Linked DNA regions of Rattus norvegicus. The protein of the gene in region 7 interacts with the protein of the main gene of each other region in a pairwise test. Links are inferred from orthologs where the notes say so. Each region holds a gene or a part of one and is shown on either strand. Other genes may lie near its edges. The genes, in order: Eaf1, Eaf2, Usp20, Nif3l1, Nkapd1, Ppp1r37 and Bend7.

Evidence for each region.
Region 1: the proteins of Bend7 (region 7) and Eaf1 interact in binary tests that used the Homo sapiens proteins (3 or more experiments, as listed by UniProt). The two-hybrid records come from large-scale screens. The link is inferred for Rattus norvegicus from reciprocal best matches to the Homo sapiens genes BEND7 and EAF1.
Region 2: the proteins of Bend7 (region 7) and Eaf2 interact in binary tests that used the Homo sapiens proteins (3 or more experiments, as listed by UniProt). The two-hybrid records come from large-scale screens. The link is inferred for Rattus norvegicus from reciprocal best matches to the Homo sapiens genes BEND7 and EAF2.
Region 3: the proteins of Bend7 (region 7) and Usp20 interact in binary tests that used the Homo sapiens proteins (3 or more experiments, as listed by UniProt). The two-hybrid records come from large-scale screens. The link is inferred for Rattus norvegicus from reciprocal best matches to the Homo sapiens genes BEND7 and USP20.
Region 4: the proteins of Bend7 (region 7) and Nif3l1 interact in binary tests that used the Homo sapiens proteins (3 or more experiments, as listed by UniProt). The two-hybrid records come from large-scale screens. The link is inferred for Rattus norvegicus from reciprocal best matches to the Homo sapiens genes BEND7 and NIF3L1.
Region 5: the proteins of Bend7 (region 7) and Nkapd1 interact in binary tests that used the Homo sapiens proteins (3 or more experiments, as listed by UniProt). The two-hybrid records come from large-scale screens. The link is inferred for Rattus norvegicus from reciprocal best matches to the Homo sapiens genes BEND7 and NKAPD1.
Region 6: the proteins of Bend7 (region 7) and Ppp1r37 interact in binary tests that used the Homo sapiens proteins (3 or more experiments, as listed by UniProt). The two-hybrid records come from large-scale screens. The link is inferred for Rattus norvegicus from reciprocal best matches to the Homo sapiens genes BEND7 and PPP1R37.

The regions. Positions count from the first base shown.
Region 1 is NC_086034.1:6,707,727-6,711,226, reverse strand, and holds part of Eaf1 (ELL-associated factor 1), read right to left. Parts: intron 3,401-3,500; coding exon 3,306-3,400; intron 1,163-3,305; coding exon 1,026-1,162; intron 1-1,025. UniProt on the Homo sapiens protein: Acts as a transcriptional transactivator of ELL and ELL2 elongation activities.
Region 2 is NC_086029.1:77,489,585-77,493,084, reverse strand, and holds part of Eaf2 (ELL-associated factor 2), read right to left. Parts: intron 3,177-3,500; coding exon 3,031-3,176; intron 1-3,030. UniProt on the Homo sapiens protein: Acts as a transcriptional transactivator of TCEA1 elongation activity. Acts as a transcriptional transactivator of ELL and ELL2 elongation activities. Potent inducer of apoptosis in prostatic and non-prostatic cell lines.
Region 3 is NC_086021.1:34,669,225-34,673,484, reverse strand, and holds the start of Usp20 (ubiquitin carboxyl-terminal hydrolase 20), read right to left. Parts: upstream 2,801-4,260; 5' UTR 2,735-2,800; intron 2,728-2,734; exon of another isoform or gene 2,248-2,727; intron 1-2,247. Other genes in the region: C3h9orf78 (telomere length and silencing protein 1 homolog), read left to right, coding at 3,258-3,340, 3,619-3,678.
Region 4 is NC_086027.1:67,484,372-67,487,871, reverse strand, and holds part of Nif3l1 (NIF3-like protein 1), read right to left. Parts: intron 2,417-3,500; coding exon 2,278-2,416; intron 1,784-2,277; coding exon of another isoform or gene 1,701-1,783; intron 180-1,700; coding exon 96-179; intron 1-95. UniProt on the Homo sapiens protein: May function as a transcriptional corepressor through its interaction with COPS2, negatively regulating the expression of genes involved in neuronal differentiation.
Region 5 is NC_086026.1:59,860,382-59,864,675, forward strand, and holds the start of Nkapd1 (uncharacterized protein NKAPD1), read right to left. Parts: upstream 2,801-4,294; 5' UTR 2,782-2,800; intron 2,431-2,781; exon of another isoform or gene 2,223-2,430; intron 1,149-2,222; 5' UTR 1,141-1,148; coding exon 1,072-1,140; intron 1-1,071. Other genes in the region: Pih1d2 (PIH1 domain-containing protein 2), read left to right, coding at 4,073-4,249.
Region 6 is NC_086019.1:88,337,793-88,342,083, reverse strand, and holds the start of Ppp1r37 (protein phosphatase 1 regulatory subunit 37), read left to right. Parts: upstream 1-1,491; 5' UTR 1,492-1,860; coding exon 1,861-2,074; intron 2,075-4,291. UniProt on the Homo sapiens protein: Inhibits phosphatase activity of protein phosphatase 1 (PP1) complexes.
Region 7 is NC_086035.1:78,472,640-78,476,844, forward strand, and holds the start of Bend7 (BEN domain-containing protein 7), read right to left. Parts: upstream 2,801-4,205; 5' UTR 2,386-2,800; coding exon 2,325-2,385; intron 2,288-2,324; exon of another isoform or gene 2,114-2,287; intron 115-2,113; coding exon 31-114; intron 1-30.

The DNA.
Region 1 (3,500 bases), on a different chromosome or scaffold from region 7:
AGCTCAGCCAAGTGCAGCGCTGGATCTGATGCCTAGTACCCTCCCCACAAGAACCCTAATCATTATCTTACCATGATTACTGTAATGCAGAAAGTTCATAGAATGAATTGACTTTTAAATAAACTCTAACACTGAGTGAACCCAAAAGTTCACTATTTTAAAATTAGGAAACAAGTTTTGTTGCTATTGCTTTGAAGTTTTTAAAATTACAGTTTTATTTATGCTATGCCTTCTACCATTTGGGTCCTGACTGAACTCAAGCCGTCAGACTTGGTGGCAAACTCCTTTCTTCACTTAGCAATCTTTTTTTTTTTTTTTTGGTTCTTTTTTTCGGAGCTGGGGACCGAACCCAGGGCCTTGCGCTTCCTAGGTAAGTGCTCTACCACTGAGCTAAATCCCCAGCCCCTTCACTTAGCAATCTTGCAAGGCCACTGTTACTTTTGTTTGGAGACAGGGTCTCGTGGACTCAGACCAGTTTCAAGCTCACTACACAGCTGCAGATGGCCTTGAACTCTTGACCCTGCTGCCTCCACCTCTCAAACGCTGGGCTTCCAGGTGTGGCTCCCCGTACTCAGTAGGCAAGGTGTTATTGACAGTATAGTCACCCCAAATATATCCTAATTGACAAGCAGTAATTTAGTAAAGTTATGCAATTATTACTTTGTAATTGTAAGTCTATGCATATAAATTGAATTCCCTACTCGGTAGTATAAGAGCAATTATGAGTCTGACAAAATTGGCTCAATTATAATTGTTCTCCCCAGTGACTTCATGTTTTAGCTCTTAAAAGCATTATTTCTTTTTCTGGATTGGAGGAAAATGTACCTTTTATTGTTGATGTGTCTGAGACAGGAGTAGCTAGGATTACTGATTGAACGGTGTGGCCCTTAGGAAACTGGACTAAGTGCTCCGGAGGTTTACAAACACCTGAGGCTATTCTGCAGGAGCCTGCCTGCCGGCACACACATGAACATAGTTGTGATCCCTCCAGCACAAGAGGCCAGGGGGACACGGAGCCGCCATACCTTGTCTTCTTGACCTGGATGCTGCTGCTGAGCTTCTCCAGCACATACTCCCCAGTGTCGTGGTTAATGATGAGCACACAGTCTTTCTGGTAAGGCCGTTTGTTCCCCTTGAACACCGTCATTGGCGGAGTGGACCCCTGTTTGCCACGAAAGTGTAAACACACCAATTATGGACCGTCTACCTTTACCAAGGGCACTGCTTCATCCAATCTTTCATCAGAGCCACTCAAAAGAGCAATGACTGATCTCTGTCTTACTCCTCTAGCTTTTCAGGCAAAAGGAAAGGAACATTATAGTAAGCACCTGGTTTTGGAAATCAAGAAATATAGCATAAAAACTTTAAATTACTAGGCAAATCTTTAAGAATGTGAGGAAATATTTCAAAGAATAGTAATGCACCAACTGAGGACAATTAGCTTTGCCCTACACTTCACAGCACGGCACTAAATAACTGGTTAGAGCAGGGAGTGATCGGTGCGTTTCTTTACAATTGAAGAGCCCAGGGCTCCCCCTCAGGCAAATGACCAGCACAGCTTTCTCCAAGGGTAAGCCAGCCCGTTAGCCTGGAGGGTGGGAACTAACCATCACCCCAAGCCTTTCAATAACTCACAGGCTGCTCTCAGGCCAAAGGACATCTTTAGGGCAGCCCCTGGATCCTCCTCCTATTTCTGGGCTCCGTGGTCTTTAGGAAGACCTCTTGTTCCTGCCTCATGGCTTTAACTGGCCTTCTAACTGCTATATTTTGACACTGTAAATTATTTGACCTTCTGCTAAGTTCAAGTAACTCCTCTCTGGTTTTCCACAAGTGTTTATTTTGGTTTGGTTCTGAAACAGGGTCTCATGTAGCCCAGGCTAGCCTTATGCTCTCAATCATCTTGCTTCCACCTCTCAAAGGCTAGGATTCCTGAAAAGCATCATATCCAGCAACTGCCATGTATTCCTATATTTAAATCCCAGACCCTAAGCTGCACAAAGGCAGGACATGTCCTCATTTGGTTTAAAGTTAATTCTTACAGCCTAGTAATGGGCCAGCACATTGGACACTGATTTAATATTTGTTAAATATAAGATTTAACTTGGTCAGAATTTTTAAAAGTATGAAACAAGGCAACAACAACAAAAACAAACTGCTTGGCTCTTCAGCCCCTTATCTGCACAGTAGAAACGCAGGTCTGCAGGGAGCTTAGGGACCCAGTACCTAACTCTGTTTTTCACTTGGGAATTAAGGTCCAACGGGAGATGATGTAATCTTCCATGGACAAGATGCAATGCAACAGGAGTGCAAATGCAGACTATTTCCTCTGCTCGAGGGCTTCCAGGTTTGCTGCAGCGTCTGCACTGTCACCAGCTACACAGAGCTTTCTGTTTGAGGACAGAGCTGTGAAAAGTGCGAAGACGCTCTTCTACTCTAACTCTGTTCTACATGTGTGTGGTGTGTGCAGGTGTGTACATGTTTTTCCTGTGTGTGGGCAGGAGAAGCCCAAAGCTGACTTTTCTTTTTTGAGGCAGGGTCTTTTATTGAACCCAACTAAGTCTAGCTAGCCAGCTTGCCCCAGGGATACCATGTCCTTGCCTCTGTAAATGTGGACTCACAAGCAGCCGCCATGTCTCTCCAGCTTTTACATGGGTTCTGAGGCACCCAAACCCCAGTCCTCCTGCTTGACTACCTCTTTTTTTTTTTTTTCCGGAGCTGGGGATCGAACCCAGGACCTTGCGCTTCCTAGGCAAGCGCTCTACCACTGAGCCAAATCCCCAACCCGCTTGATTACTTCATTCCCTCAAGCCTCTCCCCAGCCCAAAGTATGAGCGCAAACACAGTCTCCTTTCTGTTTTCCTCTGGCTGTACTGGGGATTGACCTAAGATCAGCCTGCACCGGACCCCTTACTGAATACAGAGATGTCACTCTGCCTCCTGACCTGTCTTCTGGCTGTTCTATATGTTCTCCTGCTGTGATACATAGGGCACAAAGGGCCCTTTTCTCCAGAACTGCTGGGGTAAATGTTACATATGCCTAGCAGAGGGGCCACTGTCTAGATGGAGCCTTGCCTAGTGTACTATATATGAGGGGGAAGGGGGGTCAGGAATAAGGACAAAGAACTACCTTAAACCAAGCCCCGAGACACATGAGTAACAGCCCACCTGACTCCTAAATTCCTTTTCTACTTATGTTAGCTATTTAAAAATCCAAAATAATAAAAAATAAATAAATAGAAGGAAATATGAACTGTAAATAAAACACAAGGGTTCATCACATTAGACCAACACGGGAAACAACTTACAGGGATGTGAGGCAGTGTAATTGTGACTTCATCTCCTTTGCCAACCTGGAGCTCTCCTTCACAGGAAGTGTCTATGGATGCTGGCTTAAAGTCATCTGAAAGGAAACAATGGAGAGTTCCCACTGGGTGGCTGGGAATGAGACTCCTTGGTCTTTTAATTTCAGATTAAATAAAAATAGCTGAGGGTTCCCTTAT
Region 2 (3,500 bases), on a different chromosome or scaffold from region 7:
TTCACTGTCACAGGAAAGATGTAAAAATCACTTTAGATGCCTTATCATTGCAAGTTTTAAATATTATTATCTTAAGTACTAGTATTAACCAAAAAGTTAGCTTTTGCTTTAATTGTCACATATGATTTGGGGATGTCATGAGGACAACCATACCCTATTGTCCATTATCTTTCTCTGCTCTTTATCCATAACTGATGCCCCCACATCCCTTCTTGTTGTCATTTCTTTTATGATTACTTCCATTTCTAAAGCAAACATTTCAGAGCAGCCCCCTAGTAACAAGTATTTTTTAGTGTTCATTTCTGTGGAAGTCTATTTCCCATTTATCACTTGAGACGAATTTGGTAAGCACAGAGTTCACGACTTTCAACATTAAGTAGTGTAGTGCCACTTCTGAGTCTCCAATAAGACAGTGATGTCACCTACATGGCGTTCCTCTATGTAATACGGCATAGCTCCCTTGCCATCAGAACTCTTATCTCTACCCTTAAATTTCAGATGTTTAATTCTGATGTGTCTCACCATGCATCTCTTTGGTTTATCCTGTTTTTGATTTGCTGGATTTCTTGAATCTATGGATCATGTTGTTCATCAACCTGAGAACGTTCTTGGGGATTATTTCTCCCAATTATTTTTCAGTCCCCTTTTCTTTGTCCTCTGAGAGTTCAGTTGTCTCACCTCTTGGGACTTTTGTCACTCTGCAACAAATCCTTGGGGCCCTGTTCCCCTTGTTTAAGGACACTTTCTGTTTTAGATAAGTGAATTCTCTCAGTCTATTTAGTCTCTAGTAAGTGGGCCTGCCCAGTGGATTTGCCCTGTTATTTTGTTAGTTTTATAATTTCTATTTGAGCCTTGTTTAAAATTTCTCTTTAATTCTACTCTTCACTTGCTTCAAGAAAATTTATAATTGGATCATTTTGTGAAAGCTATTTTAAGATCATCATCAGATAATTCTAACTTCTATTTTCTCTGAGAATTACTAAAGACATTACTCATTCAAGTTGTGATTTTCCTGATTTACAGTATAATACGTAACTTCCCATTCTAGGGGACAACTGACTTAAATCTTTTAGTTTAGCAGGCAGTCAGGTTCAGGCTTTGCATGCAGATGCTTGCCTATTTTTGTGACAAATGACACTCTAAATTCAGACCTTTTGCATATCTGTTTTGGTTTTCTTGGTAAATCTCAAGCAACTAGAGTTCCCATTGGTAAACTTAACAATGGAGTTTTACTAGCACTGAAGCCCAGTTCCTGGGAAAAGGAAGTCTGTGGTCTAATACAATAAAGACTGCTTTCAGGGTTGTGTGTGTGTGTGTGTGTGTGTGTGTGTGTGTGTGTGTGTGTGTCCATGAAGGGGGAGGAAAGTGAAAAGTGCTTCCCAGCAAGGTGTTTGTTAGGCAGGTGTCCCTTAGTAGTATCACCCAGTCTCAAGGTGCCTTTCAAATGGAGAGAAAACTTTGAAGGCAGGGAGGCTGTCTGGGAGATGAAAGGAATGAGCATTCCTCATAGCGTGGTATCACATGCACATGCCTTCTGCCCATGCATTTTCTGATGGAGAAGGACAGGCTCAGCCCAAGCACAAAGAAGATCTTTAAAACTTCAAGCGCTCATGATAGCACTATTCCTTTTGCTGGAGTGCTCAGCTTCCTGGTGTCTCTGAGTGATATGGGGAATTCTAGGTCCTATCTAAATCTCTTAAACTCAAATTCACAGATAACTCAAAGATGTAAGTGCAGAAACAGATGCACAGAATTTCTAGTGTAATTTCTGGATATATATTGGAAAGATGATTCAGTCATCAGAGAATAGTCAGTCATGAGGCCGAAAAGGTAGCCCAGCAGTTAAGAGCATGCTCTTCCAGAGGACCCAAGTTCCCAAAACCCATGTCAGGTGACTCACAGCCACCTGTGAGTCCTCTTCTGGCGTCTGTGGGCACCTGCATACATGTGAGCATACGCATATTCCCACACACATACACATAATTTTAAAATTGTTTAAAAAAGAAGTTAGTAGTACTCTAGAGTTAATAAACATTTGATAGAATATAGTCTAAGGATGCTATGAGCATCTCCAGGTAGATAATGTCCCTTTGCATGTAAATTAGAAAAAGAAAACTATTCTTAGTTCAACTTAGCTGATTCTCTACCTTTTCTATGAGGTATGATGTCAAAGCACTGATTTAATTAAGGTCTGACCCAGAAGTGCCACATGAAGAACCTTCTACCTATCCCACAGACTCACTCCTCAAGACACAACTGCTTTCCAGAATTGTTTCACATAATGAATTGCTTTTAGGATCTAGTAGCAAGGAATAGAACGGTTCTTTGGAATCTATCTTAATATACTATATGTTAAGATAATATAAAATATATAACTTACATCTTTATTTTTGTTTTGGTATCCAGTCATCACAAAGCTAAATTCTATTTTAATTTTAATAACTAGCATATACACTTTACATTTCCCCCTTTAATCTCTTAATTTTCTAGCTATATACATATATAGGAAAGATACCATGATACTATTTTGGAAGTAGTCAGAATAGAAGGTAAGATAAAATTCAAGATCTGGGATCTTGCTGCTGTTCAATCACTGTACCACCAATATCCCTAGTGTAGCTGGAGAGAAGCAGAGATTTCAGTTCCTTCCTTTGGAACACTCTATACCTCCCCAGAAATGCCTTCCTGCAAAAAGGGGCACAGTAACAGAAAGAAACTTCATCCTGTTTCTGTTGATTTGATGGTGCCTTAGCCCTCTGTAACTGACTGTGAACAATAAATTTCACAGAAGCTGCTACAAAGCACTGATGAAACACTTTTTCCTCCTAAATGATACTAAAATTTTTTCTGACATGCATATACTTATATAAATATGCAAATTTATATGTTATATCATTATCCTAGAAAAGTACACAATCATAAAATAAATTATGTTCTCACTAAGTCCCACTGTACATGAAAACTAACACTTAGTATTTACTTAATATCATTTACTTTTATACACTGACATTATACACAGTTAGAATTTACCTCTTTCAATATCATCCATTAGAGACGTTGGGGACAGCTTATCTTCTGATGGAGAATGCTGTACAAGGTTGGATGTCCTGGGTGGATTCCACATTTGTTGTTGCTGTTGTTCTAGTCTGCACTGGATTTTGCTACTTCCTTCTCCTCTGCAATTAAGAATAACAAATATCAAAACCAGATAAGCTAAAAGTGTCACAAATTCAACATACTAAGTTACTAAACGTTATCACTCGACCTTTAGACACCTCTCAAATGACATTTAAGGATAAGACGTTAAACCATTTAACCAATATGTATTGAGTTCCTCTGGTATGTGTGGGATACACACAGGTCCCTGGAAGGATGGGAGGACTAATGGTAAAACAATGCTACTGCTCAAACGAGCAGGCAGTAGACTTATAGATGACTACAATAGGGGAAAATATATGTGCAAGTGAAACTAGATCACGTCCATGTTTCCCACTCAGAAT
Region 3 (4,260 bases), on a different chromosome or scaffold from region 7:
TCCCCTTCTGACACCTCTAGATCTTCCTGTCCACCAGGGACCCGACCTTGGTAGTTCTGCTAATAATTCCAAATCTGGAGCTCTCCTAAGGGTGACCCTTGGAGGACCCTCAAAACTGCCCTGGGAAGCCAGGATGCAACCCATCTATCACCAAAGGTGGGGGAAGGGTCCGAGTCACAGAGCCAGGACCACAGAGCCACAACCAAACCCAGGGGACCTTCCTTGCAGCCAGTGAGTGCTCTAAACGAACTGTGGCTCCAAAATCCCAAATGGGCCAACCAGTAGGACACAGGGCCAATCTTCACCTCCTAGCTCCAGCAAGGCCCTGTTTTGTTTTTTAAGGAAAAGGGTTCTAGGTTTGGGAAGAGCCCCAAACCTAAACGCACTTTCCTTTCCAGTGACTCAGAGAAGCTCCTGGCACACGGTAGTCCGGGCCCCTGGTCTGAACCTTAAGCAGTGTGGAGCAGTGAACTGCTCTGTTGCAGATGCCTCAAAAGAGGCTTGGAAGATAAAGCTTCCCTTAGAGCTAGGAGATAGGCCTGGCTGACCTGGCGACTTTCTATGTAGACCAAGATGGCCTCAAACTCAGAGGTCTGCCTGTCTGCCTTTGCTCAGACTCCCAAGTCCTGGGATTAACAGCATGATCACCACATCTGTTTGTTTGCTTGTTTGGTTTTTTTTTTTAAATAACCCTTTGATGCCCAGGCTGTTCTAAAATTCCCTAGGCAGCTAAGTATGAAGCTGAACTTCTGACCCTCCGAAGGGTTGGGATTTTGGCATGAAACAGTACGCCCCGTTTATGCAATGCTGGAGATGGATTCCAGAGTGCCCCACACAGGCTAGGCAAGAACTCTAACCCAGCCACATCCCCAGTCCTTTAAACAAGCATTTTTCCTTATTCACTTATTTGTTTTTTTGAAGACAGGGTCTCTCTGGGTAGCCTTAGCTGGCCTGGAACTCACTGCCTCTGCCTCCCGAGTGCTGGGATTAAAGGCAAGTGACACCATTGCCCAGGTCTAACAAGCCTTTTAGAATGTTTACCATGGTCTGGCCATCCTAGATGCGACTGCTCCCTGAACATCAGCCCAGCTCCCCAGGAGGTCAGCACTCATCCCACTTCCCATAACAGACTAAAATCTGAGCTCATCTTTGAACTAGAAAAGGAAACCCCTCACTTTCCTGAAGGCTCCTTCCAGAGCACTCTCGTGTCTAAGAGCACTGCTCAGAGTGGCTGCAGTCTCTGTACCCAACACCTAGGTCAAATTTCCAGCTGCCACATTCCAAGCAATACTTGGGTCAAACGAGAATCAACTCCAACTGCCACAGCCCAGGGAGTTGGTATCACCCAGCATTCTGGCTTCAAGGATGGGAGATGTCCCTTCTCTGTGTCTTCAAAAGAGGTCTGTCTCCAAATGCTCTTGACTTTCTGATTCTTTCCATGGAGATACCAGAGTGGCCCAGTACCCTCGTGGTTAAGGGGTAAGGCATGGCTAGGCAGGGAAATTAAGAACCACTTCCGAGCCTGTGAAAATTGTACACCCAAATCCCTGGGTTCACACAGCAGATCCTAAGGATTCTCTTTTTCCCCCGCTAACAGAGACATGGTGTTGAGTGACTGCCATCTACATCTGAAGATGGCTGAACCAATCTCCAGTGTGGTCAAGACTTTGATACTTAACGCCTCTTTGATTAAAGCCAAAAAGCTGTTTCAATACATCCTGAGTTTTCTCTTTGTCCCAGTCTCAGAGGAATGTGACAACTTCAGGAAACAGCAACAAACAAAAACCCTGCCATGCCAAGGCATGGCAGACATGCCCTCCCTGCTTTAGAATAGTCTTTTAGAAAGTCTCCATCAGCCCCTCCCCCAGCCCATAAACTGGAACACCAGCTGCAGCAATAGCAGCAGCAAAGACCCACAGAGGCCGGCTGTCTCTGAAGCAAACTCTGCAGCTGTGAAAGCTCTGTCTCCAGCCCAGCTTCACCTCTCAGCTGGGTAACTTGAAGCATGGCTTACTTCTCTTACGCCTTGGTAGCCTCGTTTTTTTGAAAGAGAGACCCAACTGCATCTACTTTGTGGGATTAGATGGGAGGCTTCTAGAAGAGACTGCTTACCCCAGTGCCTGCCACAGAGTTAAGTGTCGTAAGAAGCGCTTTGCTCCAGAGGAAACTAGTAATTACGGAGTCCCTAAAAGTCCCATGTGAGCCATTAGGCACACACTTATCCATCTTATAAGTGTTTATAGATACCTTTAAAAACTACCCTCACAATATTGGGGGGTGTAAGGTGCGTATGGCAGAGCGACAATCCTCCTGGCAAAAGGAGTCATCCCAAGCTCTCGAAGGGCAGTCTCGGCCTCTGAACGTCAGTGGTACCCCTTCTAGGGACGAATGGCTGCAGGCCAACCTAGTATGGACAGTCGGCACCGGGACTGATATTCAACCCCGGCAAGGCGGTCAGCTTTTGTGAGTGAGGAATAAATGCGCATATCTGAGACTCGGAGCCCGAGAGGCCTCGCGCTGGCCTTCCTAGCGACGTGCGGCCTGCTCAAAAGCTAGGGCCGTGGTGGTTCGGGGCGGGCACAGGATGCGGTGATGGAAGGGTAGGCGGCGGGGACCTCTCACCAGGTCCCGGCCGCCCCGCAAAGCTAGACCACCCCTGCTCCAGCGGTGGCACGATAATCCCTGCTCTAGCGGCCCAGCCCCCGGCAGCAGGCAGCAGCCGTCAGAAACTCACCTGCCGTCGCAACCGCGCCGCCTGTCAGTCAAGCGCGCCCACCGCGGCGATGCGCATAGTCTTGTGGCAAAGCCTGCCGCGCCCCGCCTCCTCACCGTCAGAAGTCCAATCGGGAGAGCCTATGCCAGGGACGGGGGCGGTGTCACAGGTCACGGCCTACTAGAGGGCGGTACCAAGCACGCCGGAGGCGTGGCCGTGCGAGTGGTGAGTGCCCAAGCATGCCGGGAGTAGGGGGAGTGGCCGTGCTGCTAGGGTGTCGCCTTGTAGTTCTAAGGCTGTCCTGCTGGCGAAGAGCTTGGTCACTCGATGGGGGCGTGGCCGAGGGTGTGGCCACACGGCGGTACTTGCTCTTTTCCGAGTTCCGAGCGGGCGGCTTCCCTGCTGAGGTTTGGGGTGTGGCCTGGCAAGCCGGAGGCGGGTCTGATTCCAGCTGGCGCTCTGACGACATTTCTGCGCGCCGGAAGAGAGAGAGGTTCCTTGTACCTCGCGTCTGGTAACGCAGCGCCGAGGGTCTTGTTCCGCTATGCGGATCACCGGGAAGACATTCCGTCGGCGCCGCGCTGACTCGGAGTCGGAGGAGGATGAACAAGAATCAGAGGAGGTTCGGTACGTGTTGGGTAGGGTCTTCACAGGCCAGGAAGAGGGAGACAGGCTGACCCCATTTACTGGGAGCCAAGGTTGTTGTCTTTCAGAGGCTCCTAGGGATAACAGCCACGTTTCCCGGGCAGCGCGGCTGGGAGAGGTGCCCCGGGGTAGCATGAGTCTGACTGCCGATGACCCACCGTGTCAGAGACTCGGCAGAGAGATACGTCCTCAGAACGGAGTTTGGCATTTGAGTTTCGCAGACGGTCTCTCAACCTGTGCATCACTTTATCTTTCCCCAGGCTAAAACTGGAAGAAACGCGAGAGGTGCAGAACTTGCGGAAGAGGCCAAATGGGGTGAGGTGGGTGCCACGGGGGTGGTGGCGGCGTCATTAATGACAAAGAAATATTTCCAGCTAGAGTCACAGTCGAAAACCTCTCCTTTGACATAGTCCCTTCTCTTGACATACACTTCCACTGATCGTAGAGGGGATTAAGGTGGTGTTGTTGTTGTTGTTGTTGTTGTTGTTGTTGTTGTTGTAGATTTATTTATTATAGATAAGTAGCCGACAGAATCTTACACTGTGATTTCCAGAATATCAAATGGCTTGGCAGGAGTGTGCGACAGCTGCCTCCTTGCCTCTCAACCCCACTCCCATTCACAGCATGTGGGGCACTGACTTTTTCTTTGGCCTTTATAACTACTTTCCCACTTTTTTTCTCAATAGTGCCCATCCATCAGTGTTCCAGCCTGCAAACCTGATTGTCCCAGTTTGCTTCCTACAACTGTGACCATGACCAAAACCAACTTGTACCCCTCCTGATCATACTCAGCTATTGGGGGAATCATGGAGGGACTGAGGCAGAGACCTGGGGGAACACTGCTTACTGGCTTGTTCATATGCAGCTGTCTTATACAGCACAGGAGCACCTGCCCAGGGGGA
Region 4 (3,500 bases), on a different chromosome or scaffold from region 7:
CCTAGGCAGAGCTCCCAAGAAGGCGGAAGCCTATTTATTAAAATTACACGCAACAGTAGGGTAAGGTTGAGGAAGAGATCCAGAAATAGTCCTACCTGTGAGGTAAAGGTCGGCCTCTACTCCTTGTAGAACGCTGCCCCCAGAACCAGCACACAGGGCCACAACTTTGACTGGAGACTCTTCAAGACAAAAGTACCAACAGGTGTTAAAGAGATACTACAACGCCTTTCAGTTTAACACTACGACTTGTACTACAATTCCAACTCTAAATGCAGACTGACTAGCCCAATGTAATGAATTATGCAGTCTTTGATTTTAAATTGGGTGTGGTTGGTGGCACACACCTTTGAACCCAGCAATTGGGAGGCAGAGGAATGTAGAGTTCTGTGAGTTCAAGGCAAGCCTGGTCTGCATAGTTTTGGGACAGCCAGGGCTTACACTGTGAGACCCTGTCCCAAAAAATAAATGCAAAGCAACAGCAAAGCCCAAGTCAGGTATGGCGATGGTGCCTGTAATCCCAGATCTGTAAGGATAGCCCTAAGTTCAGGGCCAGCTCTCAAGTCTTAAAATTTGAACTTGGACAGAATTAGTGATCCTTCCTGCCCCCACTCCCCAAGTGTGTGCCAGCATGCCTGGCTCCAAAAAGAATTTTAAAAAAATCTATGCAAATGACCGATGTTTGATACCAAAAGGGAACACAAGACAAGGGCAGTGTTCCTTCTAATGCAGCTGCACAAACCCATAAGCCCCCGGGTAATAGCAAAGTGGCAGCTCTGGGCTTTGCCTCAGTGCTAATAACAAACCTTGGCTGGGTCTGCAGTGACAAGGGGGCCAAGGGACTAAAAACAGCTGGAGAAAGAGCAACGCAGAGCAGGTGGATGGTCACGTTAAAAGCACTTGCTGCTGTTCCAGAGGGCTCAAGATTGGTTCCCAGCATCCGTGTCGTGGCTCACCACCCCCTATAATTCAGGGGGTCTGACAACACACACAGAGATCAACCTGCTTCAGCCAGGTGCTGTAAGTAAAAAGGTTTGCATCACCACAATCCAGCCCAGTCTAGACTTTTGACCTTGTGATTTTAAACCCTCCATTCCCTCTGCAACAATGACCAGTTTAGGATCAGCAGGCTTCCAACGCTGACTGGAGATGGAACACAGAATGGCTAAGAAAAAGAGATTTTCTCATTTAGGCTAGGGAGACGTAGTCCAGCCAACCCTGGTTGACATAGTAAACCAATTATCTCCCTGAGCTAATGAGTGTGAGATTCAAACTTGAGGACAAAGGCTGCCTTAGGCAAACACTGGGTAGAATTTAGGATAACACCCTGTTCCAGGAAATGAGCTAACTGTCCTTAGCAGGGGTCCTTCACCACCCACTACAGTGCCAAAGGTATTTCCCCACCAAGAGCCTCCAATGAATTCAAAGGACGATAGGCGGCCACCAATGAATTAAAAAAGTAATAGGCCCCACCAATGAGAAATAACCAACTCATGCTGTAACCTAAAGCCTACACCTGAAACAGTATAAAGGGTGTGGTCCTTTGTTCTTCAGGGTCACCTCTGTCCCGAGTACAGGGTCACCCCAGTGCACTGGATTATTAAACCTCTTGCTTATTGCATTGATCTCCATCTCCATGTTTTCGTGAATAGGATCTCCTGGATGTAGGGCTGATCTGGTCTTAAACGAGTTCTACCACTTACATGAATAATAGCAATATACACTTGAATCCCAGTACTTCGGAGATAGAAGCAAAAGGAACAGTTGTTTGAGGCCATCCTATGCCCTATAAGATCAGGTGTCAAAAACAAAACCAAAATTTGTTCAAAATCACAGTCCATCTGCCAGATGATGAGGTATTTACCTAAGGTCCTCCCCAGATGATGAGGTATTTACCTAAGGTCCTCCCCAGATGATGAGGTATTTACCTAAGGTCCTCCCCAGATGATGAGGTATTTACCTAAGGTCCTCCCCAGATGATGAGGTATTTACCTAAGGTCCTCCCCAGATGATGAGGTATTTACCTAAGGTCCTCCCCAGATGATGAGGTATTTACCTAAGGTCCTCCCCAGATGATGAGGTATTTACCTAAGGTCCTCCCCAGATGATGAGGTATTTACCTAAGGTCCTCCCCAGATGATGAAGTATTTACCTAAGGTCCTCCCCAGATGATGAGGTATTTACCTAAGGTCCTCCCCAGATGATGAAGTATTTACCTAAGGTCCTCCCCAGATGATGAAGTATTTACCTAAGGTCCTCCCCAGATGATGAGGTATTTACCTAAGGTCCTCCCCACTCCAAGAGCTAAGCGAAGATGAGGCAGCTTTAGGTGTCTTTTGATTCGTTCTATCATTGTTGCCAGGGAGACAGACTCATCCAGTGTGCACAAGCGTCCCATTCCAGTATGCAGAAGCAAAGGCTGCAGAGAAATAAAAGTTAGAGATCCCATCTGTCCCAATTCCTAAAATGTGTAGAGCTGGAATCAGTAAGGTTTACATGTGCGCTTGCGATAGGAAGCTTCAGCTGACGCTTGGGACGCAAACCTAACAAAGCATTCTAACTTCCCGGAGCTCGCACTCTCAGACACTTAACACATAATCAAGGCAGGAATGGCACACTGGGAGCTGGAGAGAGAGCTCAGCAGTTAAGAGCACTTGCTGCTCTTGCAGAAGAGCTAAGCTTAGTTCCCAGCACCCACACGGCAGCTCACAACTACCTGTAACTCTAAGGGATCCAACATCTCTCTGGTCTCCATAGGCACAGTCTACACAAGGTGCACGCATACACATGAGCACGCGCACACACACATACACATACACATACACACACACACACACACACACTCACTAAATAAATCATTTAGGAAGGGGGCACTGACTAAATGAGCTGGGTCCGGAAGGGAGTTCTTGGTTTTACTGGGATGTAAATCTTACAGAAAACCAGAAAGAAGATAAAAGGGAGTCATGTCAAGTACACTAGGAAAAGACAGGGGCAGGATGGGACACGGAAAGACATTCTAAACCAAAAGGTGAGCACAGGAGACCCAGCTCAAAAGGTTCCAGAGGGACCTATTAGCAACTAGGTTAGAGATGTTTCTTGTGATATTTTGGCAAAGAATGTGGCTGTTGTCCTAAAAGCCTGCCTGAGGTTAAATCAAAAAGTTTTCATGGAGGAAAGTCCAAGACAGCCTAATCCTGACCCTGTTGCCTGGGTACTGGTAATCACTATTAAGCACGTTTACAATGAAAAGGGATAAGCAGGGCAAAAAGAAAGAGAAAATGGAGCTTGAAGAAAAGAGTACAAAGAAATTTAATGCAGGAGCCAAAGCATGGGCTCCAGAGACAGGAGAGGCTTTGTGTGAGAGGGAGGAGGAGTGCCTCAGGGTAAGGCCCCACCCAGCTAAGCTTCTGTTCTCACTTCTGTAAATAAGGTTGGTTACCCCAACTACAGAATATGTGCCTGATCGTGCAGACATGGAAATATACAGGCAGGAAGTCAGTCAG
Region 5 (4,294 bases), on a different chromosome or scaffold from region 7:
TCCATTGAGGAGCTGTGAATCAAACCCCAGCCCCTGTGGAAAGCAGCCACCTCTCCAGTCCCTTTTTGTTTGTTTTCTGCATTCTTGCCACACACAAGCTAGCCATGTACTTGAGCGAACTTCCTGTTTCCTCAGTGCTGAGATTACAGCCATGTACATCATACATGGCTCACATTAAAATTCTTGTCACAAACAGAAACAATGCGACATAGCTACTCGAATTTAGACTGAAAGTAGATGACAACTGCCAGAAGCAAAAGCTTTTATTTCTGAGTCCTCTTCCTATGCTAGGACTACCTTGTGTTTAGCTGTCACAGGTCCCTATGCAACTGGAAGTAGAATTAACATAACTGTGTAAGCAGCAAGAGTGACCGTTACACTTCCAGCCACCTGCTACTCAGGAACAGCGGGGCACAGGTCTATAATTATAGTCACTGTGGAAGTGGTAAGTTCAAGGCCTGCCCAGAATATACGTGAGATCAAGACCAGCTAAACAACAAGCTTAGTGGTTCCCAGTGATTCACAGGTTCAATCCCCAGTACCTAACACCTAAGTACTATGATGCTGGCAGCAATAGGAACGATCAAATCAGGAGTACAGTGTGTTGACGAAAACGGGACAAGGGGGTCTTAATCTTTTCATTACAGGTGCACTATTAGGTGAGTTCTAAGTTCCCAAACTCCAAGTCTGAGTTTTCAACATCAAGCTCCTGTTCATAAATATACTGAAAACCAAAGTGTGTCTCTCATGCTTGTCCTTTGTCATTGTTGTCCCGTCATTATCTCCTCCCCAGTCACAGAGGGTGGTCTGCTGGAAGTCACTCTCATCACAGTATCTCATTACAGTATCAGACAGTCTCCTAGTCTGTCTCCTAAGCTCCGCAGCATCAGGCACCACTCACCCATCGTCTGCTTTCTACCACACATCATGTTGTAACTATCTTCATGATATAGCAATGATACTTTTCAAGCTATAATTGTTTCTTATGCATCTTTGTTATCTCACTACAAAATCCATGGTTAACTGTAAGCTTGCAACAAATGTTGACGGTAACGAGATTGTATTGCCTACCTTATTGTGAGCATCTGTATGCCGGATGACATTCCTCAGGAGGACTTTCCCCAATGGAACCCGTGACATTCTTGAATCTGAAATGAACCAATATTATGCAATAAATTTATTTTTATTAAATTACAAAGAAACGAAGAAATGAAGAAAGAAAAAAAATCACCGAACTAGAAAATCTAAGGGAAAAATTTCCTTTCACCATTATAATACCCGACTATGGTATAAGTAAGGATGAAAGGGAATGATGTAAGGCAAGTCTTTAAAATTACACAAAGCTGCTCAAGATTGTTTCTATGAGCACCGTGTTGTTTAGACCTCTCAATTCTCTGTCAAGTAGTCAAGATCCATGGGGAATTGGTTCCAGAAATCCAAGTATGGGCTGGTAGAGCACTTGCCTAGCATAAGAGCCACCCCTGGATCCAGTCCCTCTGTAACATACATGCACACACACAAAGCAATCCTAGGGTGCTCATCTCTCCCCCAGAATGTATTTGCATATAAACTATGCTCCTGTGTATTTTAAATTTGGACTGTTTTCTCAAGACAGGGTCTTAAGTGGCCTCAGCTAGCCCTTAACTCCTCTTCCTCTTACGGCTGCCAACAGACATGCTCCTCCACATTTAGGAGGAGTGGGGGTATTTAGATTAATTATGATACTTAAAACTATACAAATGTTATGTAAATGTCATGACAGAGATTAGAAACGACAAAAGAGGGAAAGGTCTGTATGTGATCAATACAGATGCAATTTTATTCTCCAAGTTGGCTGCTGTTTTAACCTATGAGGATCCCCAGTTTGGACTCTACCCCCACTTCTCTTTTCAAAATCAAGTTCCTTAAAGCTGTAACCTGCCCCCAGGCCGCATGGACCCAGGCTAAGGATATGTCAGTATACAGGCTAGAAATCAAATCTCGAATTGCCCAAAATTCGCTTGCAACGCTATAAACACGTAGATTTGAACGTATCAAACACCACGTATGACAACAGTTTAAAAAAAACCTGAATTGTAAAAAAAAGTTTAAATGACCTAAATATGTCTACTCAGGGCATTTTGTTTCCTACATTGTACAGAACTTTTCAAAACCCAGAAGACAATGATAGTCACATGTGTAGCTAGCAGGGGCTTGGTGCCACCGTCCCGATGCTCACTCACCCCTCGATCCTGAGGAAATCAGGCATCTTGTTAGTGTGAGACGAAGAACCACTCCATTACAAGATCTCCTCCGACCCAGGAAGCCAAGGAGTCAGGGCTGAAAGGCAGCTCTGCAGCTTCACCCGAGTCCTTCGTGAAAACGCAGCCTTCCCACCGGTTACAGTGCCCTCACCCGAGGCCCAGGCTACGGCTGCCTTCCCCCAGCCGAGCCCGCCAGGCGGCTCTCTCTCCGGGACCCAGGCCAGAGCGGGCGCAGGCGCGGAACGCGGCCTGCGGGCGGACCGGGGCATTCCCCGCTCTCGCTGGGCTGGGACGGCGCCCGGCGGTTCGGTTTCACTCCCGGGACAGAATGGGGACACGGGGCATGGGCACGGCCTTCCGTTGGGCCCCGGGAAGTGTCTAGCGTGCCTCAGGGGGAGCTTGAGGTTTCCAAGGGGAAGTCGGGGAAAACACCCCCATGTCTGTCAGCGGGCTCCCTGCCCCGCCACAGCCTCGGCGCTCTCCGCAGCCTTCCCTCGAAACGCCCTCCCCACACAAACACACACAAACACACCCATACCGTGCGCCGCAGCCTCGCGTGGCGGGGTGGGAGAAAAGGCGGCGGCTTCCTTCCGGGCCGGAAGTCGTGCTCCGGAGAAACGCTTCCCTCCACAGGAGACTCCCACAGAGCGGGCTCGCCGGTCGCCGTGGAAGCTGTCAGGTGCAGGAAGGAAGCCGGCGCTCTCCTGAGAGAGAAGCGGGACGAGCCCGCTGAGGAGCCAGTCCGGCACTGGAGAAAAGAACCGGAACTGGATATAGAGACACCACTCTAATTTGCACTCCCCGGACTCAGTTAGACGGTGTACCGGGCCTGGTTACCATGGTAACTAGAGTCACAGTTTGTCTCCAAACTGAGAGAAGAGGTGCGTTCCCCCACGTTTGGATTAAGTGTGTATTCGTTGTTTATTTAATCTGACTTTACTATATAATTTGAAGACTCTAAATCTCTTTTTAAATTTTGGGCGACATTTCTCTCTTACGGGAGGAGGGTAATGGCGGGATCTTTGACTATTACTTTGAGGTAGTATTTATCAGGTGTTCCAGCTTAAGTATTAGTGTTCTTAATCCTCATCTTTGTTTTGAGAATAGGTGTGGGGTTGGGGATTTAGCTCAGCGGTAGAGCGCTTGCCTAGCAAACGCAAGGCCCTGGGTTCGGTCCCAGCTCCGAAAAAATGAGAGAGAGAGAGAGGGGAGAGAGGGGAGAGAGGGGAGAGAGGGGAGAGAGGGGAGGGAGAGAGAGAGAGAGAGAGAGAGAGAGAGAGAGAGAGAGAGAGAGAGAGAGAGAGAGAGAGAGAGAATAGGTGTATATATACACTACTTGCTCAAGGCAATACAGCTGTCTGTAGTTAGGAAGAACTTAAGCATATTGACTGCAATGCGCCTAGTTTTAACTACTGTACTGCCACTATGTATTTCTCCCCCTTCCCGTCTCTCTGTCCCGTCCCCCCCCCCCCCCAACCCCTCTCTCCTACACTTTCAGGTCTGGAAGGCACCAAGTCAGCCAATATTCCAGCTATTGGAACAACAGTCCTTTCTGTTTCCTCTGTATTTGTGAGGACCAGACAGAAGTACAGGTACAACGTGGGTATTTAGGAAGCGGCTCAGCTCACAGACTGTAGAAAAGCCAAGATTAAGCAGTACGTGTACACTGTTTTAGACATAGGAAGCAAGACCAGTTAAGAGCCTCCCCCAGAACAACTGCAAAAACCTTCCTTCTTCCCTGAAAGAGGAAATAAGGCCATAGCTACCCTACATGCCTTTCTCAAGTCCTGTCTCTCTAACAGGTTCCAAAGGCCTGAGTCATCACCATCATGAAGGCTTCCTCAAAGGGTCTTCTCACCCACATCTCCCAGTTCTGGAGCATGCTCGATGATTTGGCAGAAAATGATCCCGAGCGCTACCGGAACTTCATTCAGCAGGAGCTGAAAGATGGCAAACAGCTCTGTGCCGACCCAGAACCTCAACTCTGTCTACAGACAAAGATCCTAGTATGTGGAGCTACTGCAAGGGAGGAGAGGTCTTCAATAAAACTA
Region 6 (4,291 bases), on a different chromosome or scaffold from region 7:
CTGAGGAGACAGGGAGTGGTGGTGGTGTTCGAATTTGTGTGACAGCCCGGGAGCAAATGCTGCAGGTTGGTGGTTAGCATTGAAGATTTACCCTTCCTCAGTTTGCTCCACCTCCTAGTGAGAAAGTCTGTGTCACCTGTTTCAGTCCCTTGTCACTAGAAATCTTTCAGTAGATGATATCCAAAAGCAGTTCCTAGCTGAGCACAATGCCCTAAGCCTGTAATCCTAGCCCTTGGGGTGGGGAATGGGGTGTAGAGGTAGGAGAGCCAGAGATAATAAAGCCAGTCTTGCCTACATGGTAAGTCAGAGGGCAGCCTGGGTTACGTGAGAACCAGTAAAACCAAACCAACCAACCAAACAAGAAAACCTAGTTAATGCCTTTTATTGAAGTTCAGAATGTAAGTGAAGGCTTGCATTAATTATAGGGGGCTTTTGGTAATTCTCAGTCTCAAAAGTGTGCTAATCCACAATGTGAAGAGGGAAACAGTTACCCTGAGCAGTAGCCTTAGTTGCTATCAGTTCACACCGCTGCCTCTCTCCAGCCCCAGCCCAGCTCTCTAGTCCAGTTCAATCAAGTCCAGTTCTACCATTTCAGTCCCTTGCACCAAAGGGTTGACCCTTAATAAGAAGGGAAAGCGAAAGTGCCGAGATGAATCCGAGCTATGAAATCGATCCCTTGGAGGTGTGGCCTGGGTTCGCTCGGGTTTGGTCAGCTGATTAATCTCGAGCTTTTGGAATTCCGCTCCCAGTTTGTTTTTTAATCAGGTTCATGAATACCCAGCATTTACATTTGATACAATTTTGACGAGACAGTGAAGCTAAAGTCTGCTCTTCTGTCGCTTCTGTCACCTGCACGTACTCATCCTATATTCAGCTCGGCTCTCTTGGCTTTTCAACACCTCCATCACTTTACCCTGCTCCCAGTACTTGGCTTAGCCCCGCCTGGGTCTCACTCTGTAGCACCTGCTTGTCTGAGGCTCCATATGTAATCCAGTCTGACCTCGAATTCACAACCTCCGCCTTCAGCCTCTCCGAGGCTAGGATCACAGGCGTGTCACTACCCTGTCCAGCAGGTAGTTTTTAAATTAAGGACTCTGATCCTTATTTTATATTTTAAGTTTTTTTTTTTTTTTTTTTTTTTTTTTTTTTTTTTGTGGACGCGTGTGTAGAAATCAGCGGACAATTTTGTGGCGGCAATTCTTGCATTTTACGTGAGTCTCTGGTATCGAGCTCAAGACGACTTTTACCGCTGACGCAGCGCTTTTGCAGACCGCGGTGAAAGGATTTCTAGTGAATTCTTTCCCGAATTACTTGGACTTGTGACGAATGTGCGGGAGCCTAAGTGTTGACAGCTGGGCTGAGGGCGGGGGGGTTAGGGGGCGGCGGCGGCAGCGGCAGCGGCTGAAACTCGCGCATGCGCGGCGCTCGGGGGAGACAGCGATCATAGGCCCCGCCTCTGTGTTCTGCAGTTCTGGCTCTGCAGATTCGCTGCTCACGTTTCTCTTTCCCGTGGAGTCAACTGTTCTTTGTTCCCGTCTTCGTGTCGCCCTCGAAAAGATTATTTTTTTCAGAACAAAATCTCGAGTCGGGGTTATGCTTTTCTCGGTACGCAGCGGGCGCCTTAGCTTGTAGCGAAAGTGTGGCTGCGGAAGAGCAGGTACTCGCGGAGCTCGGCGGAGGCGCGTTGGGGCTCCCGGCGGCGGCGGCGGCGACGACGACGACGAACGGAGCAGACGGAGGCGGCGCTTGAGGCAGCGGCCAAGCCCATGCCCCGGAACGGCGGGAGGACCCGGAGAGACGAGTCCGGGGCCCGGGGCATGTCCCCGGGGCCCCCGTGAGGAGGAGGAGGCGGTGGCGGCGATGGAGATCCCGCCGCAGGAGGCTCCGCCCGGGCCGGGCGCGGACGCCGACGCAGATGCCGAGGCCGAGGAGGCCCCAGCCGAAGCTGGGTCTTCCAGCGGAGCTTCGCCCCCAACCGATGGGCGCCTTAAAGCTGCGGCCAAGCGTGTCACGTTCCCGTCGGACGAAGACATCGTGTCCGGAGCTGTGGAGCCCAAAGACCCCTGGAGACACGGTAGCTGTGGCTAGGGTTGCGGGAGAGAGCCTAGGGGCGGGTGGGACCGCCAGAGCGCCGACTCCTACGGAGGTGGCCCGCGGTAAATGTCACTTATCGGTGGTTTCAGCGGTTCCTAGGTTAGAGCTGGAGGCAGTGGTGTTGGCGGGAGAGTTGGAAAGGTGCACAGGATTGGGTTTTCAAACCCTAACCTTGTCTGGGAGTTTGGGAGGCTGGCAGCCAGCCTTTGAGTTCATGGTACACCCAGGCAGGAATAGATGAAAAGAACCCGTCTATAGTATTGGGGGAAAGGTAAGTGAGTCCACGGGGCGGTGAGAGCAGAACCAGCTGGTCTGTAAACCAGGACGCAAAGGGTAGCCGGCTATGGCCATTGCTTTTCTGGCTGGAATGAGAACGGGAAATAAACCCAGACTGTACAAGAAGTTGGTAAACCCTCCGACTGGGAAAAGAGGGTCGGAGGCAGCAGGCTGAGAAGCAGAGGGCGAGGTGGTCAGTTTGCCTGTATGCGAGGAATTCCTCAGTAAGGTTCAGCAGCAGAACGTGGAGCCCACTTTTACCAGGGTCTTCCTGGGGAAGGACTGGGGAATATTACCTACTCAGGTGTTTCTGGTCAACAGAAGCCGTTGGGAGATGGGAAGATCTAAGATCTAGGCCTGTTGGAGAAGGTTGGTGGGGAGGTAGAACTGGACGGGCACTTGGAGGTGTGCATTGGCTTTGATGGCTAGGAAAGATGAAAGGTTTCGGAGGAGACGGACTCAGGCTAATCCCGTTTCTGAGCTGAATTGTGTTTTGCTTGGGTGGAGCCTGTGAAGTGAGGTCGCCCACTGGCCATGTTCCGTAGAAGCTAACCTGCTTGTCTGGGAGCAGACAGACACTACTGCCAGGCTGTGGGCAGCAGAGTGGGCAGCTAGTAGCTTTGATGTATGTGAGGGCGGGGACTTGGTTGCAGGAAATGATACACTGAGAGCTCGCCATAAATGCCAGTTTGACTAGTAATTATCAAAGAGACCAAGGTTAATTTAGATTTGACTTGGGGAGCCTGCCAGGGCCGGGTGGTTTGTTTAAGGTTCTGAACTTCTTGGAACTGGTGCTGAGGACAGGAAGAGTCCAGTGGACCCTGGCAGCAACCCGATGTCCACTGTGGTGAGATCACAGCAGGAATGGGAAAGTTGGAGCAGTGTGGCCATTCAGAAGTGGTTAAGAAACCCGGTGTGGCTGTATGCAGCTGTGAGCCTAGCGCTTAGAGGCCAAGGCTGGACCATAGAGTAGCCATTCTAGGGGGGCTTGAACTGCATGGTGAAACCCTATTTCGTTATAAAAATAAAAGGGGAAAAAGAAAGGCTAGCTTGATCAAATTCTGATTTTCTCATTTGCTGTCTTTTACAAACTGCTGAGAAGTTGCCTGGATCCCCTGAGCCTCAGAACCCCCCTTCCCCAGAATGACTGACAAGAGCAGTGGCCCAGGGTCTGCCAGAGACTGAGTGACATCACACATGAACAGTGCCTGGTGAGGGTGAGCCCTCTTAAATCCATGATGATTATGAAGGCAGCACTGAGACCTGGAAAGAGCTTGCTCTTTAGTCAGGGCCAAAGTCAGAACCTAGAACCTTCCAGGATAAGGGTCAGATGGTGGGGCCTGGAGGTCAGGGCACCTGGAGGGTCAGGCAAAGTTTCTGGCCCACCGTTTTTCTGAAAAGGCTAAGCCTTTTATTTATTTTTTTAATATTTATTTAATGTATATGAGTATCCTGTTGCTGACACACCAGAAAAGGGCATTGGATTCAATTACAGATGGTTGGTTGTGAGCCACCATGTGGTTGCTGAGATTTGTACTCAGGACCTCTGAAGAGCAGACAGTGCTCTTAACCACTGAGCCATCTCTCTAGCCCCCCCCCCTTTTTTTTTTTTTACATAAAATGGTCTTATGTAGCACAGATTGTGTATGGCTAAGGGTGATTGAACTTTGACCTTCCCACCTCCCTCTCCAGAATGATGGGATTGCAGGTCTGTGCTAACACTCATTTTATGCAGGTCAGGGGATAGAGTCCAGAGCTGCTTACTGCTTGTCAAGCACTGTGGAGCCACGCTTGCAGCATATGTGTGTGTGTGTGTGTGTGTGTGTGTGTGTATATATATTTTTTTTTTTTTTTTTTTTTTTTTTTTTTTTTTTTTTTTTGGAAACAGGATTGAATTGGGTAGTCCAGGCTGTCCTCCAAT
Region 7 (4,205 bases):
GCCGAGAAATTAATTGATATAAGAACCTACCTAAGAACATGGGTTGTGTCTCTTTGGTCTCCCCATTAACATCGTTGCTGAATTCTGAGATTTTATACACCTCATGGTGATAATCTGGCATGAGAAAATAACCGAAAATTAGAATTTTAATGACTGCAACATATAGGGATGAGCAATTAAAGACTCCCGTCCCCATATATATAACTTACAGGTATATTTTCAAGAGCTCTCCCAGAAATTGTAGTTAATAGTAATCGTCAAACCTTGGCTTACTGTGAAGTACAAGACCTTGAAATGTTACTTGGCCTCTACAAAGCAGGTATGCTTGGCCACAGTTTTCACAGCAAGTATATTTGTGAAAAGAAAGAAAAGAAAGAGGAAAACCTTGCCAAATCACAGGCCAATGGAGTTTCCCAGATTTATTTCCACAACCCATTTTGGTGAGCACATCAATAGTATGCTTCTGAACTGCCTCTTTTCTCAGTTTACCCAGAAAATCTCAGCTTAAAAGTAAGCCCGTATTTTAAAAAAAAAAAGATATTGATGTGCTGTTTTTAAAAAGTATACTTTGAAAAGAAGCCAGACTTTTTTACCTTTCACCTAAGTGAATCTTTTGCATTCAATTATTGCCCTAACTGAACCTGTAGTAGTTTATCTTCCAAAAAAATTTGAAAAGCACCTGAATAGCAGAATCACTCAGCATAAAAAAAAAAAAGAAAGAAAGAAAGAAAGAAAGAAAGGAAAAACTCCTTATGTTAATCAAATTTTCAAATACAGCTTACGGTCTCCTGTGGAAGCCACAGCATTTTGGTGCTGTAGCTTTTTACAAAGCAAGATCTCCCCGGTATGAAAATAGAGATCCCTTCTCAACAACTATCCAAGGTTTGGGTGGGCTTGTCTTTTGTTGTTTGCCTTAGCTCTCACAGGACAACATGATAAAACGACCCTCTCTTTTAAGATAGAGTAGTTAAGTTTCCTGGGTCATAAGGAAGAAAGCAGCCTCTATTCCTGAATGGAACACATTGTATCAACAGGGCCATCACACATGGAGACACTTCCAAAGTACAAAACTCGAGTCAACACCCCTGCTGGGGAGGTGGATACCAAGGAGTCGCCAAATATTTTGAATACATGCACTACTCTATGGTTAAACAGTACAAAACTAAATTAGGGGAAACACAGATGAGCAGAGTCTCAAAAATGTCTATAATTAAACCATTTCCAGACTAGCCAAAAGTGAGCTTTATAAAATCCTCATTTCAGCTTAGCCCAGTTTGGGAAAACTCTGTCCCTTGCAACCACCCTCCAATAGTCACCTGTTTACACGTGACTTTTGCCGGGGCCCTTGGAACAACCATGTGGCTCTTTCCTCAGATGCTAATGCTAGATAAAAATCACCCAGGCAAAGTGGTCAGCTTCTCTGGTTTGGCTTTGACCCAAGTTGATTCAAAGATATTTAAAGAGGGTGGGCTCATATTAGGGCTTGTGCCACTGTGGGGTGGGGTGGGGTGCGAAGGTATCACCTCTCTCATTTTTTAAGGTGATACTCGACATTTTGACAGGTGGGTTCCTTATCTAGAGTTGTCATCATTTTTCTTTTAAAGATTCAAATCAGGAAGAAGGACTCGAACAAGAAACAGAACCCAGAGGAGACACTATTCAACTTTCTCCTCCCCCGACAAAATAAACACCTATGAAGAGTGTGCTGTACACCTGTTAGTCTGCAGGACCTAGCTGGATTTTTCTCTTTCTTTCTTATGATGACACTTGTCTGGCTGGCATTCGAGCTAGTCTTAAAACTACCTTTCCACCCAAATCACTCAACTGGAAAAGATGCTGTATGTCAACAATTTCTGCCTTGAGCTTCGATTCCCTAATGAGCTGATTCTTCTTAAAAAGAACAATGATCATCTTTTTCTCCCCTCCTTCTCTTTGGGTGGGGGGGAAAAAAACGAAAACAAAAACAAATCCCAGTCCATTCTCGGCCTGCCGGCCAGGCAAACCCTCAGCCACCCCAGCCCAGCGGCGGCCACGGCGGCGGCACCCCCGAGCGGGCTCCGCTCCCCGGTGTCATTGTTTGCTAATTTCCTGACGTGCCCTCCGACTTGTTTACCTTCAATAACACCCGGTGGGTCCCCCTCCGGCACAACTTTCCCCGCGGCGGGGCGTGTGCGGCCCGCGGGGGCCCCGGGTTCGGGCGAGGACGAGGGGGTCGGGGCGGGCGCGCCCCCGGCGTGGAGCCCGCGGGCGGCCGGGGCGCGCGGGGCCGAGTGCGCGGTGCGCGGCGCCGGCTTCCCGCCGCTGTCCCCGGGCCGGCAGCTTACCTCGGCTCACCAGTTTGAAGCTCTGGGATTTCCTGCTTCTTTTCCTCTCCGAGAACTCCATGGTGCGGGCAAGGTGGCGGCACGGCAGGAGACTGAGGCGGCCGCTGAGGCGGGCTCGTGTCACCGCCGCGGAGCCGCCAGGACCAAGGTCCGCGTCGCGATCGGCAGGGGAGGCCGAGGGACGGGAGGAACCACCGCGAGCCCGGCCGGGGGCTGCGCGCCCGGGGCGAAGTTGTCCCCGCGCGCGGCGCCGCCTTCCCGGTGTCTTAGGCGACCCCTCGGTGCCCCCTCATGTCGCCTCGCTTTTTCCCGAACGCAGCCCGCCGCAGCCCAACTTTCCGCTGGGAGCCGGGCCGGGTGGGGGCGCGGAGCTGCGGGGTGCTCGCCGCGGCCCGCCTGGGCTCAGCCTGCGGACGCGGCCCGGGAGACGCGGCGAGCCGAGGGAGGGCGGCGGCGGCGGGTGCGGAGCGGCGGCCGGGGCGCTGACCGCCCCCGCGGGAGGAGGGGCCGCGCCGGCGGAGGGGGCGGCGCCGCCGGGACCCCGGGGCCACCTGCTGGCGGAGCCGGGCCGCCGCCATCCCCTGGGGGCCGCCGCCACTGCTGGACTCGGCCGCGCGGCGACCCGGCGTGGCCCGGAGGCCGCGGCTCAAGCGTCGGTGGCCGCCCGGGGCCGGCGGAGCTGTCCCCGGGCGGACGCCGCGCTCTGCGGGGCCTCCCTCCGCCGCTCCGGGAGGCGAGCCTGCCTTTAGAAATAAGCCGAGGATCGCGGCTCCTCGGCGGCCAGCCCTCGCTCAGTCTGAGAGCCGGGCGGTGCCAGGGCCAGGCGCGGATTTTAGGCAACTTTTAGCAGGGGGTGAAGAACTTACCCATCCGCGCTCTGCGAGCAAACGGGGAGAAATTTGAGAATGGACTGCTGAGACGACTATGGGATGGAGCAAACTTCAATTCTTTACCCCCATCCTGGGGGCTGGAGGGGAAGTTATATGCAAAGGGGGTGCTTGGAATGGTGTTTTGGGGAGAGGAATACAAGAGGTGAGGAGTGCAAGGGGGTGCAGGCTCCTGGAGAAACAGTGGTCATAGCAGGTGCCTAGACTCTGCCACTTGAGGCAGAAATAGCAAAAATAATTGACGTCCACAAATGACCGTTGGGAGTTTTATGTAATATTTTTCTCTGGGGTGCACTTACTGTAGGCGCCATTTCTTACCACATGTTTTAAGCGGGAATAGAAAAGATTTTTTTTTTTTTAACATCACCTGGGAATGGTAGTGTGGGAACATGATCTGACAAGCTTAAAAGTACTGCCTCCAAATCTACGGTTTCTAGACCAAAGTACAAAGGGGAAGAAGGGACGGGCAGCTGCTGCTCCAGCACCTTGGTAAGGTCAGGTTGCTCCAAAGAATAGAGAGGAAAGCGGGGAGGGGGCGGGGGTGTGGTGGGCTCTCTTGATGAATGAGTGAGGTGAGTTATAGTCAAATGAGATAGCCTTTCAAAAGCCACTCTGATATAACCGTGACATTAAGAGCAGGGTAACTACCAAGAAAAGGGGAATGTTAGAAGCAAACAGTGCAAGCATACCTGGGAAATAAAACCAAAGGACCGGGTGGGCATCAAGCCAACTGGAGACAGCAGGATAGACATAGGTGTGGAGCAAACGATGGGAAAGGTGGTTTAACCTGGCTGGCCTCGGTGAGACGAGAGCTTTCATTCAGCGCAACAGAGTAAAGAGAGGATTCTTTTTTTTTTTTTTTTTTCTACTTCTTTTTGAGGTAATGTTAGAGGCTGGGTCCTTTCCCCAGGAAAATTGTATGGAAGAAATGAAATGGTGTTTGGTGAAGTTCTTAGATCTCTTTAGAGTTATAAGAGGCATGGAAGGGTCCGAT